Coturnix japonica: one gene and its partners. The protein of the gene in region 4 interacts with the protein of the main gene of each other region in a biochemical or structural test. Links are inferred from orthologs where the notes say so. Each region holds a gene or a part of one and is shown on either strand. Other genes may lie near its edges.

Region 1 (4,318 bases), on a different chromosome or scaffold from region 4:
CTCCTGGTCCTCCACGTTGGTGACATCCTGGTGTGGTTCTGCCATCTTGCAGCCAAGTTACCTGAAGAAGGAAACAAAAGCAATGATTGCAAAGCCTGGAGCCTTGTTGGTGTGCTCCAAACCACCTCAGCTCCATCCCAGGAGCATCCTCTGGCCAGCAATGAGCCAACAAATGCACGCTGCCTCCTCAGCCACAGCAAGAAGGGAGCTGCTTTATCTCCTTTCCTTGATGAGACCCCAAATCACATCACAGTGTGCAGGGATGCTCAGGATACACAGATGCCCATTGGGTTTCACATCACAGTGTGCAGGGATGCTCAGGATACACAGATGCCCATTGGGTTTCACATAGCTGTGCTCAAACACTCCCCAGAGCATCCTGTGCCCCCACATTCACCAGGAGCACATTCCACCCGCACTCATTGAGCAGTGCAAAGTGCTAACACACCAAACCAGGACCTCAGGGGGCTTTTAAAAGTGCTTAAAGGAAGAGAACCCAACAACAAACACAAGCTGCAGGCACCATGCCTGTCCTTCTGATTGGACAGACATGGATTTTAGTTGACTTCCTAATAGCTGATGTAATTACAGCCACTGGCAGTGATTAATAACAGGCTATTAGTGTAATCGTGTGCTTGCCATGACCGTCAGGAGCAAATGGATGCAGCAGTGAGGCTCGGGTCACTGCAAGCAAGGAAGCAAACACACGTGGTTTTGTTTGCTGGCAAGAAATAAACAGGATATATGGAACCGAGCAAGAGAAGCTCCAATGGCAGTAAGCAGAGCTCCTGCCCAGCTTCTTTAAGCCTTAGGAAGATGAATGTACAACTTCACTGCTGCCTTTGACAGCCACAAAGCTTGGACAAGGACAGCCCTCCCAGCCCAGCTCACTGAGCACCCACACACCTTTGTGTGTGCTGACCCAGATGCAGACCATCCACTCATCCCACTGCTGGGTTCCAATGATGCTCACGTCCTCCTCTCCTGCCCCCCCCCCGCCCCAGTGTTTGGAATGGAGCTCTCAGCACCTCTCTTTGAAAGTCACATTTAGTGCTTTCCTGCCTCTGGACAAGAATTTCCTGGGCCACCATCCAGCACTGACTCCTGGCTCCACATCCAGCTCACATTCCCAGCCTGGGGCTCATCTGCCCGTTCTGTGGACAGGGTTCAGCTCAGCTCAGCTCAAGACGTCCCACTTCTCCTCCGAGCTCAGCATTTCAGCATCTGTGCAGCCCTGGCACGGCAGCAGCCAGCAGTGATTCAGCAAAGGCCATGGAGCCGCCTGCCTGCAGTGCTGGCTCTCACTGCTGCTTTCTGACACCAGGAAACGTTTGGCTGCTTCTTAGGGAACCCGTCGGTCTCACTGTCTCTCTATGAGCTGCAAAAAAATCCTTTAATGCTGTTCTGCTCACAGCTGGGCACAGACAGCCCTGCTCCCATTGAGCTCCATGCATGGCTGGAGCTGAAGGAGCGGGGATGGGCTCCTAATTAATTTTGCAGAGATAAGAGCTGCCCGTTAGGTTACAAGGAAAAAAGCATCACCTAAAGCCACAAAGAGCCGAGGATTAAATCACCCAGATGCCCCCTGAGAGCTGCAGGACACACAACTGTTTGGACAGAGGGACTTTGGGGAGCAGCAGCATCTCCCAATGGGGCTGGATGGCTTCGTGCTGTGCCTGCAGGGCAGCAGGATGGAAGCAGGCTCTCCCTGCAAGGGCTGGGATGCAAAAGCATTACAACAGGGCTGATAAAGCTTCAGCACAACAGAGAGGTAAACAAACGACACCAAGCAGTCCAGAGGGTGAGGCCAAGTGAGCCAGCAGCACCATTATCTCTTAGCTGCAAAGCTCTCCCAGCTGGGTTGGAAATACACAGGCTGTATCATCACGCAGTCATATTCAACACTATAAAGGCGTTTTATGCCTCTCTGATGGATGCTGGAGTCCATTCTCCCCCACATCAGCTAAAAGCAGGATCAGAACATGAGGGGGATGCACATAGTTGTGGCTCGGATCCGTCCTGCTGCAACCAGGAAGCAAAACCAAAGGGCTCATCCACAAAGCGCTTCTTATTCTAAGGGGGGTTGAAAACTGCACGTCTATGAGTTACAAACAACATCTGAGATGACAAACCTTCTGCTTCTCAAGTGGAGGAGGAGGAAATCCCTCCCGTGAAAGGGAAAAGATGTTCCAAAAGGCCGTAAGAACAGCCTCAAAGCAATGGGTTGGGAATGAGTAACTCAACAAGGAGAGCTGCAGAGCTCAACGTCAGCAGGGCACCATGCAGGAGATAAAGCACACAGCCCTACCAAGAGCCTTATCCCCTTCCAGCAGGACTATCCCCACCAAACAGGGGCCCTATCTAAGCAGCAACAGCCCACTGTGGTGTTAACAGCCCCTCAAGCCCCATTAACAGCCCCAGGCTTCCCATGGGGGCACAGATATCCGAGCTCAGCCCACCAGCACCATTAACTCCATACACACAACCCAGTCAGGTCCCTCAGCCTAAAGGTGCCCCCTAAGAGTCAAACCCAGAGTCAAAGCCAGCAGGATCTGATGCCAAAGTCCCTGCAGGGCCACCAGCAGCATCAGGATGTATCACCATCCATCACAATGGCACTGCACAGCTCTCATCCTGCTGCTATGGCCACACACTGTGCCCTCCAGCTGGGAATGCTGATGTCCCAAATGAAGCCTGGCAGCTCAAACTCTTCCTGCCTTGATGTGACGTTTCCCCGCAATGACAGGTGAATAAAAACCAGGGCTGAAAACAACGTACCCTATTGATAGCAGCCTGGGTTGGCTGAGAGGAGGAAAGCAGATGCTGGGGACCACACAGCTGTGCTTGGGTGGCACTCAGCCTTCTGTCCTGTGTGACAGATGACATCACAAAGGAGCAAAACCAAAAGGCTTCTGGTGCCAGGGGCTGAGCTGTCCTGCATGCTGTGTGCATCCCCCCACCCCCAGCAGCCCCAGCATCAGCTCACCCTGCCAGCTCTGCATGGATTCAGGGCTGTTCCCCACAGCCCCTGGGATCACAGAGCTGGGAACTGATGCTTCCATTCACATGGGCTAAAATTCCCCATATAAACCATGGATTGACAGACCTGCTGGTGGCCATTATGGGCCATGCATTTCTGCAGTGCTTGGAGAGATGCAGGCTGTGTTTGCACGCTCTGCTGCACACCCCAAGCAAGCACAAGGGGAGCAGCTGCATCCCAGCTCCTGCTCAGCTCCTTCCTTCCCCATTATTCCACCTGCAAGGGTGGCTTGTGTTACTTGAAAGCTCAACAAACATGAGCCAGCCTCGTGTTCCCTCCGACAGGTGATCAAACACAAACAGGTTGGGATGGGGTTGGTTGTTTTTTGCCCCCATTTGAATTACTCAATTAAAACGGAGCGACGGCCCCGTGAAATAACAGCAGCTTGAAAGGCTCTTCATAATTCATAAGCAGCTTCTTTTTCATCTCCTTTGTGCACTTAGCTCTTCCAAGGAGCTTGACAGGCGAAGGAATACGGGCAGTGATCTCATCAACTGCAAGCAAAGCTTAATATGGAGCGAGATGAGAAATCACAGCAAGGCAGGGGGGCAGGAAACTTCCTTTATGTTCAAAGGCAAACACAGAAGGAACTGCAAAAGGAATCCTTTCAGAAATGCATTCTTCATCATTGCTCACCTTTAACCTGTGTGTTATTAAGGCCTGGGTTACCAAGACCAGGCAGTGAATGCTCCACAGCTCTGGAAAGGAGCATTAAAAAGGAATAGCAAAGTTGGGGCTGCAAACACAGGAGCTCAAGGAATGGTCAGTTAAATACCCCCTTACAAACCCAACCTGTCCCAGCTCTGAGCACTGCATGCCCTCACCAGCTGGCTCAGGTTGCCAGAGACAAGCCAAGTGATGCTCACGTGCTGGCACGTTCCTCAGCATTGCTGAGAATTAAACTAACAGAATTTGCCATCCCAAATCAGCTTAAGGGCTGGCTCAGCAGCTGCCTCCTCACTGGGTGGCAATTAGGAGGGCAGATTATCCGAGCCCACCCTGAGCAGTGAGAGCAGCCGGTCCATGGGGAGCAGCAATGGTTCTGTGCCCCAACAGCACAGCCCTGCAAACTGGAACCTGCTGGGAGCCACATTGCATTGCAGGAATATGAAGCCTACACCTTGCATTATTGCCTCACCCCAAAACCACACACCTGAGGGCCAACCCGCTGCTATTGCTGCCACCCTTCCCTCATCTTCCATCCCTTCCTACCTTTCTTCTTCCCTCTGATCCAGCTGACCGAGCAGAATGCAATGCCCTGCAGCACCGATGTCCCTG
Region 2 (4,367 bases), on a different chromosome or scaffold from region 4:
AGCAGTTAGTTTGCACTCTCCATATATACAATTAGTACACTCACTAATGTACTACAAGAATTCCCTACTTGCTAAGCCAAAGTTTCCTTGTAGATAAGCTGAAGTACATTTACATCTCACCTACAAATGCCATATCATAGAACAAATATAAACCCATTAGAAGGCATATTTCCAACAAAGTCACCCACGATATTTCAACTCATTGAAAATTCTAGGTAGAAGAAAATACCATGTGGAAAGCAAAAAATTTTGAATTTCTAGTCTCCAGCCTAAGCTTATAGACTATTGCTTTATCTGATTTTAAACTGAGCAAAGACTTTTAATGTTCTTCTGCCAATAAGTATTTTCAGTGTATGTCACTTTCAGAGTAATATTTTAGAATGTCTAAAAAAGTATTTTATTGCATAAAACTTTTGAATAATACCTCCTAAAGTACTAGAACCGTGTTTTCTGAAAGACACTGTAAGCCTTATCTATATTATTATGATCTAATATAAAGCAAGGATAGCTACCATACACTGTGGACAAGTAATACTCACCCTTCTGAAGATGCGTTATTGTTATCACAATTAAACATTCCCTGAACTCTCAATTTGATACAGACACTGGGGACAAACAAAGAATGACCTTTTAATTTTTACAAGTCACAAAGAACCGGAATGTGCCAAGCCCTAAAAATAATAATAATAAATTAAAAAATAATGGAAAAAAAGGGGGGTGGGGTAGGGGGAAAGAGGAAAAAGAGAAAAAGAGAGAAAGGACTTGTATATGAGGAAATCTCCGTTTAGAAGTTTATCGTGTACTAAAAATACCAGTAAAGTCTCGCTGAAGTACTGAACGGTTGGATCTGCAATTGCTCGACTTGCACAAAGACAAACCTATCCTGCAACAAATAAACAGACCAAACAAAAACAAAACCAAAAAACCAAACAGAGAAAAAAACCAAGGCCCTAGTTCCAATGAAATATACTGTTTCATAACTTTGAAAAAGTATCTTGAGCCAGGTACAGGTTCATTATACCATTTTTGCTACATTATGCTGAGACTGCTTTTCTTTCTGCCCATTCCTAATAATTTTTGGATGTTCGTACTTAACACCAGATACACATGCGTTGCGCTACAATACATTGATTTCATCACCTTTGTCTGATCACACACACGCCTGTTGCTCCAGCACAACTCCGTCCCTTTCACACCTCCCCAAACATGCCGATTTCAGAGATCGCCCCACACACCCGCGCTTTGCGACATTAGGTCTCCAACTCAGCAGTTCCAGCTCCCTCCGAACTCTGGAGGGCCGGTTAGCCGAGCAGCGCCCTTCCCGACGAGGAAGTTGGCCGGACAGATTGACTCCCGCGCCGTCCCCGCTCTCCCGCACTCGGTGCCCGTGAAACTCGCCGGGGGCTGGAGAGCCCCGTCGCAGACTGGCCGGCGGGACGGCAACGTGCGAGGGCGAGAGTGGGAACGCTCCGCTTCCGGGACACCGCGGGCACATGGGGCTGCCGCGGACCTACTCGCACCCCAGGGCGGGGGCTACCGCCGCGTAACAACTTCTGCACCGTGCTTCTCTCTCGGAGGGGGCTGAGGCGGACAGAACGGACTTGTCTTCGCGTTTCGGACTCACCGAGACCTCACCTTGCGTACGTTTAACACACGGATCCCCCCGCCGACCCCTCAGCGAAACCGTGCCAGAGGCAGCCGCCACCACAGGAGGCCGGCAGGAACGGGGAGGAGAGGAAACAGCCGGCTCCTACCCGCTCTTTCTCCCGCACGGCGCCAGTCGCCCCCCCCGCCCAAGGCTCCGCTCCGCCGAGCGCGGCGCGGCCAGGATGGACAGAGCCAACTCAGACAAAAGGCACCGTCGGCTCCGCGCCGCTCCCTCCGCTGTCAACGGCTGCAGAGCGGGCGCGAATCTCGCTGCCGCCCCCCACCCCATCCCGTTCCTTCAAGCGCGACGCGGCGCGCTGCTCGGGACCGAGGCGGTCGCGCCCTCCCTGTCTGCCTCCCCACCCCCCATAACAAAGGGAGTCGGTTATAAATAACTGCTCCCGGCCCGCAGCCCGTACGGTGGTTGTGGTGCTGCTGCCGCTGCCGTCCAGCTCACCCGTCCCCTCGCTCCAATCTCGTGCCACCGCCACCACAGCCGCTTCGCTCCCCGACTCTTCTTCCCTCCTGCCTCCGGCTGCCGGATTCACCCTCCCGGACCGAGCGCCAAATACAGTGGCCCAATCGGTAACACGTTCATTGGCGAGAGCCGAGCGCCGCCCCGATTGGACGGACGCGGACGGAGCGCCCCGAGCCAATCAGGGGCGGAGAGGGGCGGGGAGAGGGGCGGGGTCCGTGCCCCACGTGCTGGCGGGAAGGAGGGGTGGGGGAGCTCTTTGTTCTCGCGCTGCCGCCCGGGCTGGCGGTTTTGTGCCCTCTTTGCCCGTCCGTGTAGCTGAGCGGGCAGCGGGTCTGGAGTTTGAGGTGCTCCGGCCGCCGCCTCACGGGGACTGGGGAGGGGAGGGAGGCGAGGGGTCCGACGGGAGCGGGGAGGGGCCTCGCGTCTCAGTGCTGCTGAGTTTGAATCAGTTCGAAAGTGGGAGCTGTAACGGTTTTAACAGTCGTGCTGCTGCTTCCGCGCGCTGCAGAGAGGGGAGGGGACGGGACGGGACGGGACGGGACAGGACGGAGAACTGGGAGAGGCGCGTCTGCGACCAGGCGGGAAGATCCAGGCGGGGACTGGGGGTGTTGTTGGCAGGAGCTGCTTACCTCAGCACGGCCCGCTCCCTGCCCGTCGCTTCCGCGGCGGGCTCTCTCCTTCCCGGCATTGCGCCGTGCCGAGCGTTGGCTGGCTGAGTCACTAACCAGAGTACGTGATGCATCCTCCTGCCGTGTCATCTGACCTTTGCGCACCCAAACCTAGCACGTATCTGTCCTTTTGTTTCACGCTGTTGCTCACGAATTTTGGTGCCTTGCTGTTCTGTAACCAGCATGGATTCTTAACTGTCAAAATCCCATTGTGTCCCATCTTGGCAGTGATGGTAAATCACAGCAACAGCAAGGTGTCCATTCTGCATAAGGCTGGGATCCTGTTGCTAGTGATACACTGTCTCTAGCCTAAGGTTGCTACCATTTTCCCTCGTTTTTATTCTACGACTCAGTCACGTTGACAAGGAGGTACTTTAAACCTCAAGGATTCATTCCCCCTTAGCCTTCTTTTGTCTCACTGTTTGGCCACTGCAGCCCTTCTTTGTTGACTGGAAAAACAAAATTGCCAAGATAAGATCATGGTGGGAAACTTCCATGTATGCTTGTCACCATCTCTCCTTCCTAAGCCTCCTGTGTTCAGCACTACTTCTGAGGTAGAATGGATTGTGAGCCTTGTACCCTTACTGTCTGTTACCAGTGTTTCTCACCTTCCCTTGCAAATCACTTCTGATACATTCAACTACCTTGTCTCATCTTTGTGTGAAGCCCAAAAATTAGCACTGTCCACCATAATGAGGTTCTGAATGATAAAAATCCTATGAGAGAAGATCATTGACACAGCTTCATGCCCAAATCTTTCAGCTGCATTATAGGCCAAACAAGGATCAGAGTTCTTTTAATGTGGAACAGAAATTATTTCCTCTTATGTTTGCATGTCACGAAACGATATATTGTCATACTCTTTCTTTGATTCTACTAGAGTAGATGACCTTTTCCAAGATTACGTTAAAACTATCAACTTTGCAAAATGTCAGTCATTTCTTGAAATTCAGCTATTTAAATCTATTCTGCTCCAAGATGGCTGGCACCACCAAAATGGCTACCCAGTCTCTTCACAGCTTGGAACTTGTAGTTTTTTTATTGTTAGAATTGCACTTCATGAGATCTTATCTTAGTCTATATATATATATATATATATATATACAACTCCTGTGCTAAATAAGCATAGCGTAACTTTAAGCAAGCACTATAGTCAGTCACAAGGTGAAAAAAAGATGTGTGGAGACAACACTGAACTCAATTGCAGTACACGCTTCAGTTTTTGTCTTGCACAGAAAGTTATTCACCTGCTGTACGTGAAGCTAATGCTTACTAGAAAATAAAACACATTTTGAATGGAACTACTCTTTCTGTTTTGCACTCTGTGAAAACAATCTTTCCATGCTGCATTTCAGTTCTAGAAGTGATGAATCCTCAGTGAGGATCTCCACGAAGTGTCAATTTTCTGATCATATGGGCTATTTAAAATAACCTGGAGAATTCTGGCAGCTTGTTTCTTTTTTTCTGCACGTGGATGCTTAATGTTGTAATGAGCTGCTTATAGACTTTCTGTTTTCATGGAGTAAACCACCCAAACATTTTTCTGTTCTGCTGCATTTTCATGATTAAAGAAT
Region 3 (4,097 bases), on a different chromosome or scaffold from region 4:
TTTCATGTATAATAATACCTAGGATATCAAAACAAGGTATCGGCTTCCCTTTATTTAAAACGACACTTTTCCCCCCTCAAGGCTGGAGAAGAATATTGTTAAGTGTGCCTGCAGCCTTCTAAAATAAACCTGGTTATGTGAAATTAAGATGAAGTCCGTCTGATACAGAGTTATTTTTCTGTTCACTTAAAATCTTAGGTTAAAACCTGAAAAAAAGCCCGGTGTGAGATGCTGACCTTACCTCCTGAAGAGTTGTGTTCACTACCTGAGAAGGAAACAGAGATGATAACATATAATGTGCGTGAGCACCGGGAGGCTAAGATGGAGTCCCTGTTTAAGAGTAGTGCCTCTGTACAAACTCACTTACTTTCAAAGTAGCTGAAATATCCCTCTTCCTAATACATACACAGGGACTGAAGTGGCCCCTGCTCTGCTCGGCAGCCCGTGGTCAGCTCCTGGCCTCCCTTAACCCTGCATCTCACTGCCTGAGCACGGCCCAACATGCTTCTGTGCCGATAAAGGTCACCCTAAAGGCTGCAGAGGGGCTTCTGAGCTAAACCGTATGAAAGAAATCCCAAGGGATCCAAGTTTTTAACACTGTAATTAGCTCCAAGTACCAGCTAATGCTGCTCAGGAAAGGAATCAATATCAAATTAACAGGCTAAGTTGTCAGAAAAAATAGTGACTGTATTAAGCACGCTGATCAATGCGAGCACTTGGTGCTATGGGCCGGGTCCTGCTGCTGAGGCAATGGGGAGCTCTGCCACCACATTCAGCTCAAGCAGCACAGCCCTGCTGCCTGCCCTTTGGAACAGTGATAGGGAGTTCACTGAAAATTCAACACAGCTGATAAAGGAGCAGCGTTTGCCACAGCAGCTGGCAGCGAGAGCCTCGGCTCAGTGTGCAGTACCTACTGAGCCGAGGCTGGCACCATGAGAATTTAACCCTTTGCCATACTCCATGATCACCCTCACACAACAGCCGGTGCAGCTCAGCTCCAACACTGCAGAGTACGTGGGTTTCAGAGCCCTGCCCCACATTAGCTATGCCCCAATAAACTTTGTGCTCCTGTTTTCCTGAGCCTGAGGTATGGCATCCCAACGCTTCCCCCACAGCACTCCACTTGGAACCTAGCAGCACGTCAGTCCTACTCCAGAACTACGGGGTGAGGCAGAGCTGCCAACAATGCAGCCAGAGCTGCTTCAACCCGCAGTATTCCTGACTGGTTCACGCACAGGTTAACCCTGATGCAAGGCAGGGAGAATCGAAGTAGAAACCAAACCTCCCTGTAGCACAAGGAAACTTCCTGCACACATGCCCTCAACAGCCCCATCCCTTAGCAGCAGCTGCGATGCCCCACACACCCCAGTAACGTTCTGCAGCAGCACCCACAGATCTGTATGGCCGCATGTCAGCTCCAAAGGGCCGACAGCCGGCCATGGGAACAAGCCCAAAGCAAGTGGGTCAGGCAGTGCCCACCTCACACCCCATTTACACTGGGTAAGCATTGCCGGGTTGTATGGGTGCAGGGCCTCTCTCTGCCAGGCTGGGTCCGTCAGCAACACAGTAGCGACCTCAGCGCAGCCTGCCGTGCTGTAAGCTGCTATCACCCCAACGGGCACGATAGATGGATGGGGTAAGTGAGGGGCACACAGGCTGGCAGCACCAAGCCATCACTCTCGCAAACCCTGTCATCTCCATATGAAAACGGAGCTTTGGGCTTCTCTCCACCACCTTTAGGAACGGCAGAGCTGGCAGTTGCTGGAGGAAAACGCAAGTCAATCTACATGTGAGCTTTGGGCTGGCACCGCACGAGAGCAACTCCGCTTATTTCTGTTGCGAGTTACAAGGTCCCTACAACTTGTACAAAATAAAAAGCCTTTAAGAACACCGTCTCCTGCCTTCCCTGCTCGTCCCCCTGCACCAGCCGGCGGCCGAGCGGCGAAAGTCCCATCCCTTCCCATCCTCGTCCCCTACGCTGCGGTCAGCCGGCAGCCCGTCCCCTCACCTTCCATCCGGCCGAGCTGTTGCTGTCGCCCTTATCCTTGAAGTAGGGCACGCACCGCACCATCCAGTCGTAGATCTGCGACAGGGTGAGCCGCTTCTCGGGGGAGCTCTCGATGGCGTGGGTGATGAGGTCGGCGTACGAGAGGTTGCCCCACGCGTTGCGCCGCGACGAGCACTTCCTCGGCGCCGCCGCCGCGGGGCCGCCGCCGCTCAGCCCCCCGCCGCCCGCCGCCGTGGCCGCTCCTCCCGGCGCCGGCCCGGGCCCCTCCGGGCCGCCTCCGGGCACGGGGACCGGCGGCCGCGCCGCCTCCTCGGGGCCGCCGGCGGCCGCCGCTTCGCCTCCCACGGGGGCCGCGCCGCCGACGGCCATGGCCGCGCCGCCCCCCTCCTCGTCGTCGTCCTCCTCCTCGGGGATCATGGAGGCGGCGTCGGCGGCCGGCTCGCCGGCGGGCTTGGCGGGGCTGGCCTGCAGTTCGGGCCTCTGCAGCGGCCAGGTGCAGGAGCGGGGGCGGCTCTGCGGCTCGAACTCGGGGTCCAGCTCCACGTCCAGGGGCGAGAGCGGCCCGGGGGGCGACGCCTCTGCCATCTCGGCCTCCCTCGGGGGCGGCTGCGGCGGCGGCGGGGCGCTGCGACGGGGCGGGCGGCCGCCGGCCCCGCTCCTCCTCCGCCGCCGCCTGCTCGGTGCCGCCGGGAGCCTAGCGGGCGGGCATGCCGCTCCCCGCGGGCACGGAGCGAACGGGCGAAGCCGGCGAAAACAACGAACGGAGAGCGAAAAACGCGATTCAATCGGGCGGAGCGCCGGAGCGCGGTGCCGGGGTGCGCTCGGCGCCGCGAGTGTGCGTTTGTTTATGTTTCTTCACTCCATGCGGGCTCTCCGGCTGCGTCCGCGCCGTACCTGGCCGTGGGGGCCGGCGAGCACCTTCCCTTCCTCGGGGGGTCCTGCGCTCGTCCCGGGGAGGCACCGAGGAGTCCGTCCTTCTTCGGGACGCCCCGAGGGGAGCGTGGATCCCTGCGCGCTGATCGCCGTCACTTCGCCTTGCCCCCAAACACAGCGGCACCTCCTCGCCAGAAGAAAGGAAAAAAAAAATAACAACACCACAAAAAACCCACAACGTAATAATAACGATAGAAATCCTTTCTCTCACGGGGGAAAAAGCGAGCACGAGAGGGACGGATCGGCGCTCCTCCAACAGGTCCGGGAGCTTTAAGCCCTCCCTCGGGCTGCCGAAGCGAATGGGTTTTGTTCCAGCAGCACCGCCGCGCTCGTAACCTCGGCGCTCATAACCTCCGTGCTCCTGCCGCTGCCATCTTGACAGTTCCCTCCGCTCCAGTCACCGAAAAACCGCGGCCGGGGAGCGGTGGGGACAGAGCCGACGACCGCCCCCAGGCCAGCGGAAAGGCGAAGCCCAGCGCCCGGCAGCGGCGGTGCTGGTGTTGGCGATACAGCCGCTCCTGCCGCTGCGCGGCTCCGCTCCGCCCGCTCTGCGCCCGGGGCTCGGCGGAGCCTTCCCTTTAAAGGCGACGCGGGGGGAGGCGGCGAGGCGAGCGGCCCGGCTGCCGCAGCCCGCCCCAGCTGCCCGTGGCCCTGCCGGCCGCCAGTTGGCACGTCCCTCCTCCTCCTCGCCACAACACAAAGTTATAGCCGCGCGCACACAGCCGCAACCTAACCCAACGCAACGCAGCGCCCGCCCACGGGCGGGGCCCAGCGGGGCCTCCCACACAGGGCGGGGAGACGGGAGCGGAGCGCGGCCGGGCCCCTGCGCCCCTCCGCCGGGGGGAGCGGGGACGGTGGTACAGTGTCGTTGCATGTCCGCCCGTGTATCCTCTTGGATTTAAGCAACATGGGTGATTTCACTACTCCATACGCTGAGTTTGTGTCACGTTCGCCCGATCTGCTGCCTAATCCCACCTGCAGGTAGCTCTGCTTGTCGCAGTGGAGCAATAGCGCGCCTCCTAACTGGGCTGTGAATTGTGCGTACAAGTTATTCTTGTGTTACCTCCGGAGTCCAGTTTTGGTCCTGTTTTTGGTGCCGTGTTCAGGCAGCAGGGTGGAGAACACTCAGCCGATGCCCACGTGAAGGCCATCACCC
Region 4 (3,591 bases):
AAAGAAACTTCAAAATTCCTTTTCTCTTACAAAATGGATTTTATATGACCAAATTTAGAAAACAGCTATTATTAAAAGCAGAATGCAATTTACTGTTCTTCATATTTTCCCCATATGCCTGGGAGTTGCTATTACCAAAAGCAGAACGCTAACACTGCTCCTCTATTTCCAGCTCACGTACAACAGGTAATTTGTAAGATTTAATTCACCAACTCCGGTCACAATTCATTACCAACTTACAGTGAGTTTCATTATTTCAACTTTTTTGGGGGTTGAGGTGAGAGGGATTTTACTGGAAAGGAGAATACGTCCCTGTTTCATTTTCCTTTTGCTCATCTCTGTCCCACTCTCAAGCCCACTAGCAGTAACTAAATGCAAGTGATGATGCTTTCTGCCACAGACCCTACAATGAAGCCAACTTTGCCAACCACTGGGCTTTGCTAAGGAGGGGATTTCTGTTGAATTACACGAATTCCCCCAAACATCATTGATAGGCTAATGTGGAATGGACTGCTGGGCATGACGTAATTTCAACTGACTGTACTTTGAGGCTATCTGGGTGTTTTCCTTTAACGTGGCTGAATGACCTCATAATGAGTCAATCACCACATCTGTCAGGCGCCCACCCCAACACAGACCACACCGTGTGAACAGCTGACAGTAAAACCCATAACAAGGGCAGGGCAGGACTCAGGACTGCCACCTCCCAGTGCCCCCAGCTCACCTCTCCCTGCTGCCTGAAACGCCACCCAGTGCACTGCATTGCAGAATCCCAACTGCAATTCAAAAGCTGAATGTACAGTGATTGGGGAGAAACCAGTATTTAAGAATGGTCCACGATCCAAAAAGCTTGGGGAGGCACGGTGTAATTAGCAAGGTGCAGGCTTCTCTACTCTATAGTTATTTCTATCAGCAGCAGGAAAATCATCTGTCCAACACATCAGAGCATCAGTGGTTCCAAGCCTGCTGAAGATACATGTGAAGAAGTGGCTATTTGTATAAAATGAGCATGCTGTGGAGTAATTATTGGCATTGGAGAAACCTTGCAATCAGAAACAAGTGGGCGTTCTTTGTTTGTAAACAAACTGTATTTTGGTTCATCAGAGATGCTCCTTTAAGAACAAATTACAGCAGATGCTACTTGTGTTTCCAGAGATTGAAAGGCACCACCTGAATAAGCTACAAGAGGGTCACAACTGTATTTAACCCAGGGCTTTTCTAGACAGGAATCCCGTTGGCAGGGGCTGCAGCCACATTTGCTGTGTGGAGTACCCAGGGGGTTGCTAATCCATCACACAATTGAAAGCAGTGATGGAAGCAGTCCACTCCTGTGACAAAAATCCCTGCTCCAAGAAATCCAATACTGGCAAAAACCATTTTCACGTTAAGTGTGTGTGTACGCACCAACTAAACAAACATCACAAAAACTGGGATACTTGTTACCTACACCTCATGTGAAAGGTTTCCTAGCTTGAGTTCTTTTATGGTGGGAAGGTTCAGAGTCACTATCTTCGTTTGTTTAAAAAGTGTCTGGGCTGACAAGATAGCAGGTTTTCAGACTGATGTTTACCCTTAGTGCAAAGGTCAACATCCTTTTTGGATCCTGTTCTATTTTTTGTTACATTTTGTTTGTTAGCCATTAAGGATTTGAGGTTTTCTTTTTTTTGCTGACGTTGTTTTTGTTTGGTATTAAGACAGAGGTTACTTTTTCAAAACAAAAGGAGGAAATGGGAAAAGTAGATTAAAGCACAGTATGAATTCCACCATAAACATGGTACTAACACCACCACCTGCTGTCCAAAGCAGGATGACAGATCACTGGCACTGACTGAACAGAAAATTCAGAAAGCTTACTGTAAGCAGCCCAAACTTGGATAGATGGTAAAAGAATTACTGCAGAGCAGCTGATAACTCACAGCAACGATCAGATTAATTATGACCAAAAGCAAGGTTAACTTGCTTTGTCCCAGGCCATAGTTGGCAGCCACCATATTCTGAAGGTCAAGCTTCTGATCAACAAAACTGCTTCACGTTGCCACCTGCAAGCCAGCTTGAGTCAAAAGTTAAGCTGAAACCAAATAGGTCTGTGCGCTACATCCCTCAGCTCTACTTGGTGGATGATAATTTTGTGCCAGTTAAAAACAAATCCAGAATTTCATCCAAAATGCCTTCCTCATTTTGAAATACAGAAATACTGGCATGAGTGCATTCAGTATCCCCTTGGGCAGAATCCTCTTCAATTGCTTCTCAATGGTGGAGATATGGATCATTTAAATGGCAGCACAGGAAGAGCCACTTAAAGTCACTTGCCTAAAAAAACAGCTCCCTTTCACAGACATACCTCTATGTAGCAAAGTTATTAACTTTTCTTGTGAAGGCCTTAAAATACATTTTTCCTTGACTTATTATGCTACTTCTGAGTGCACAAGTGTTTAAAAACACAAATATTAAGAAACAGTCTCACCTCTGCTTAGGATCTTTCTTCAGCAAGCCTGACAAGAGAGATTTTGCTTCAGGTGACAAAGTGCGTGGAAATCTAATCTCTTCCATAAGGATGAGTTCAAAGAGCTTTTCATGGTCCTGATTGTAGAAAGGGAGCCGGCCACACATCATTTCATACATTACAACTCCTAATCCCCACCAGTCCACTGCACGACCATAGTCATTATCTTCCAGCACCTGTACAGGGGTAAGGAGAAGGCTTTAGAAGGCATTCCTACATTGGGAATGAACTCAAGAGGCAAAATTAACACCAGCAAATTTCATGTTCTCGCATTACACAGCTGAATCTATTAGCACAGAGTGTTTTCAGAAGATCCTCCTTGAAAACAAAGGTCAAAGGAGACAAAGGAGAGCACTGTAGATGAGCAAGATGGGGAAGAGAAGAAAGTGTGCACGTTATGTCAACTTTCCTCTTCTCTTCCTTCTTCCACCCTCCCCCCTCTCATTACATCCATGGTAAGTAAGCAGAACCTTTGAAAGCCCAAAGGCTGAGGACTGTTCTCACATTACAGAGCCAGCTGCTGAATTTTCACTTATTCATCACAAACTGTTCCAAGTGGGATCTCATTAAAACATATATATACATATATATATATATATGTGTGTGTGTGTGTGTGTGTGTGTGTGTGTTTTTGTTTTTTTTTTTAAATGAGATCCCATTTAGAACAGTATGTATATACACACACACACACATCATCAAGGAGCCACTTTGGGAAGAGGTGAAAAGCCCATCGGTCTGTTACTTCACAGGCAACAAACTGAACATCACAATCATCCCTGTATTAACCTGCTCCTACTCAAAGGGCTACTCTGCACATCACAAAAGACCACCCACACACACACACCAAATGACTAACCCACATTCAGCCCTATGAGCCAGAACTCCCCTCCTAACACCTGACCCACTGCAAGGCTGTAAAATGGCAGCCAATATGAAATACTTCCCTTCCTCCCTCCTGTGGGACTTGCACACTGGCTGCAATACTGAAGGCCCTCACATCAGGGGTAAGCTTCTTCCAGTTCTCACAGCAGAAGAGGTTCAGCACATTCATTTTTTCCCCTCCCCTGGGCATTTCTACCCAACAAATC

Evidence for each region. The genes of interacting proteins can lie anywhere in the genome.
Region 1: of the proteins of AKT1 (region 4) and MAPT, one has a biochemical effect on the other in vitro, tested with the Homo sapiens proteins (3 studies listed by BioGRID and IntAct). The link is inferred for Coturnix japonica from reciprocal best matches to the Homo sapiens genes AKT1 and MAPT.
Region 2: of the proteins of AKT1 (region 4) and EZH2, one has a biochemical effect on the other in vitro, tested with the Homo sapiens proteins (2 studies listed by BioGRID). The link is inferred for Coturnix japonica from reciprocal best matches to the Homo sapiens genes AKT1 and EZH2.
Region 3: of the proteins of AKT1 (region 4) and FOXO3, one has a biochemical effect on the other in vitro, tested with the Homo sapiens proteins (2 studies listed by BioGRID and IntAct). The link is inferred for Coturnix japonica from reciprocal best matches to the Homo sapiens genes AKT1 and FOXO3.

Annotation. Positions count from the first base shown.
Region 1 is NC_029542.1:2,390,767-2,395,084, forward strand, and holds the start of MAPT (microtubule-associated protein tau), read right to left. Parts: upstream 2,864-4,318; 5' UTR 2,779-2,863; intron 62-2,778; 5' UTR 46-61; coding exon 1-45. UniProt on the Homo sapiens protein: Promotes microtubule assembly and stability, and might be involved in the establishment and maintenance of neuronal polarity.
Region 2 is NC_029517.1:75,450,763-75,455,129, forward strand, and holds the start of EZH2 (histone-lysine N-methyltransferase EZH2), read right to left. Parts: upstream 2,864-4,367; 5' UTR 2,814-2,863; coding exon 2,755-2,813; intron 2,279-2,754; exon of another isoform or gene 2,067-2,278; intron 1-2,066. UniProt on the Homo sapiens protein: Polycomb group (PcG) protein. Catalytic subunit of the PRC2/EED-EZH2 complex, which methylates 'Lys-9' (H3K9me) and 'Lys-27' (H3K27me) of histone H3, leading to transcriptional repression of the affected target gene.
Region 3 is NC_029518.1:61,257,924-61,262,020, forward strand, and holds the start of FOXO3 (forkhead box protein O3), read right to left. Parts: upstream 2,864-4,097; 5' UTR 2,594-2,863; coding exon 2,009-2,593; intron 1-2,008. UniProt on the Homo sapiens protein: Transcriptional activator that recognizes and binds to the DNA sequence 5'-[AG]TAAA[TC]A-3' and regulates different processes, such as apoptosis and autophagy.
Region 4 is NC_029520.1:46,930,098-46,933,688, forward strand, and holds part of AKT1 (RAC-alpha serine/threonine-protein kinase), read right to left. Parts: intron 2,680-3,591; coding exon 2,465-2,679; intron 1-2,464. UniProt on the Homo sapiens protein: AKT1 is one of 3 closely related serine/threonine-protein kinases (AKT1, AKT2 and AKT3) called the AKT kinase, and which regulate many processes including metabolism, proliferation, cell survival, growth and angiogenesis.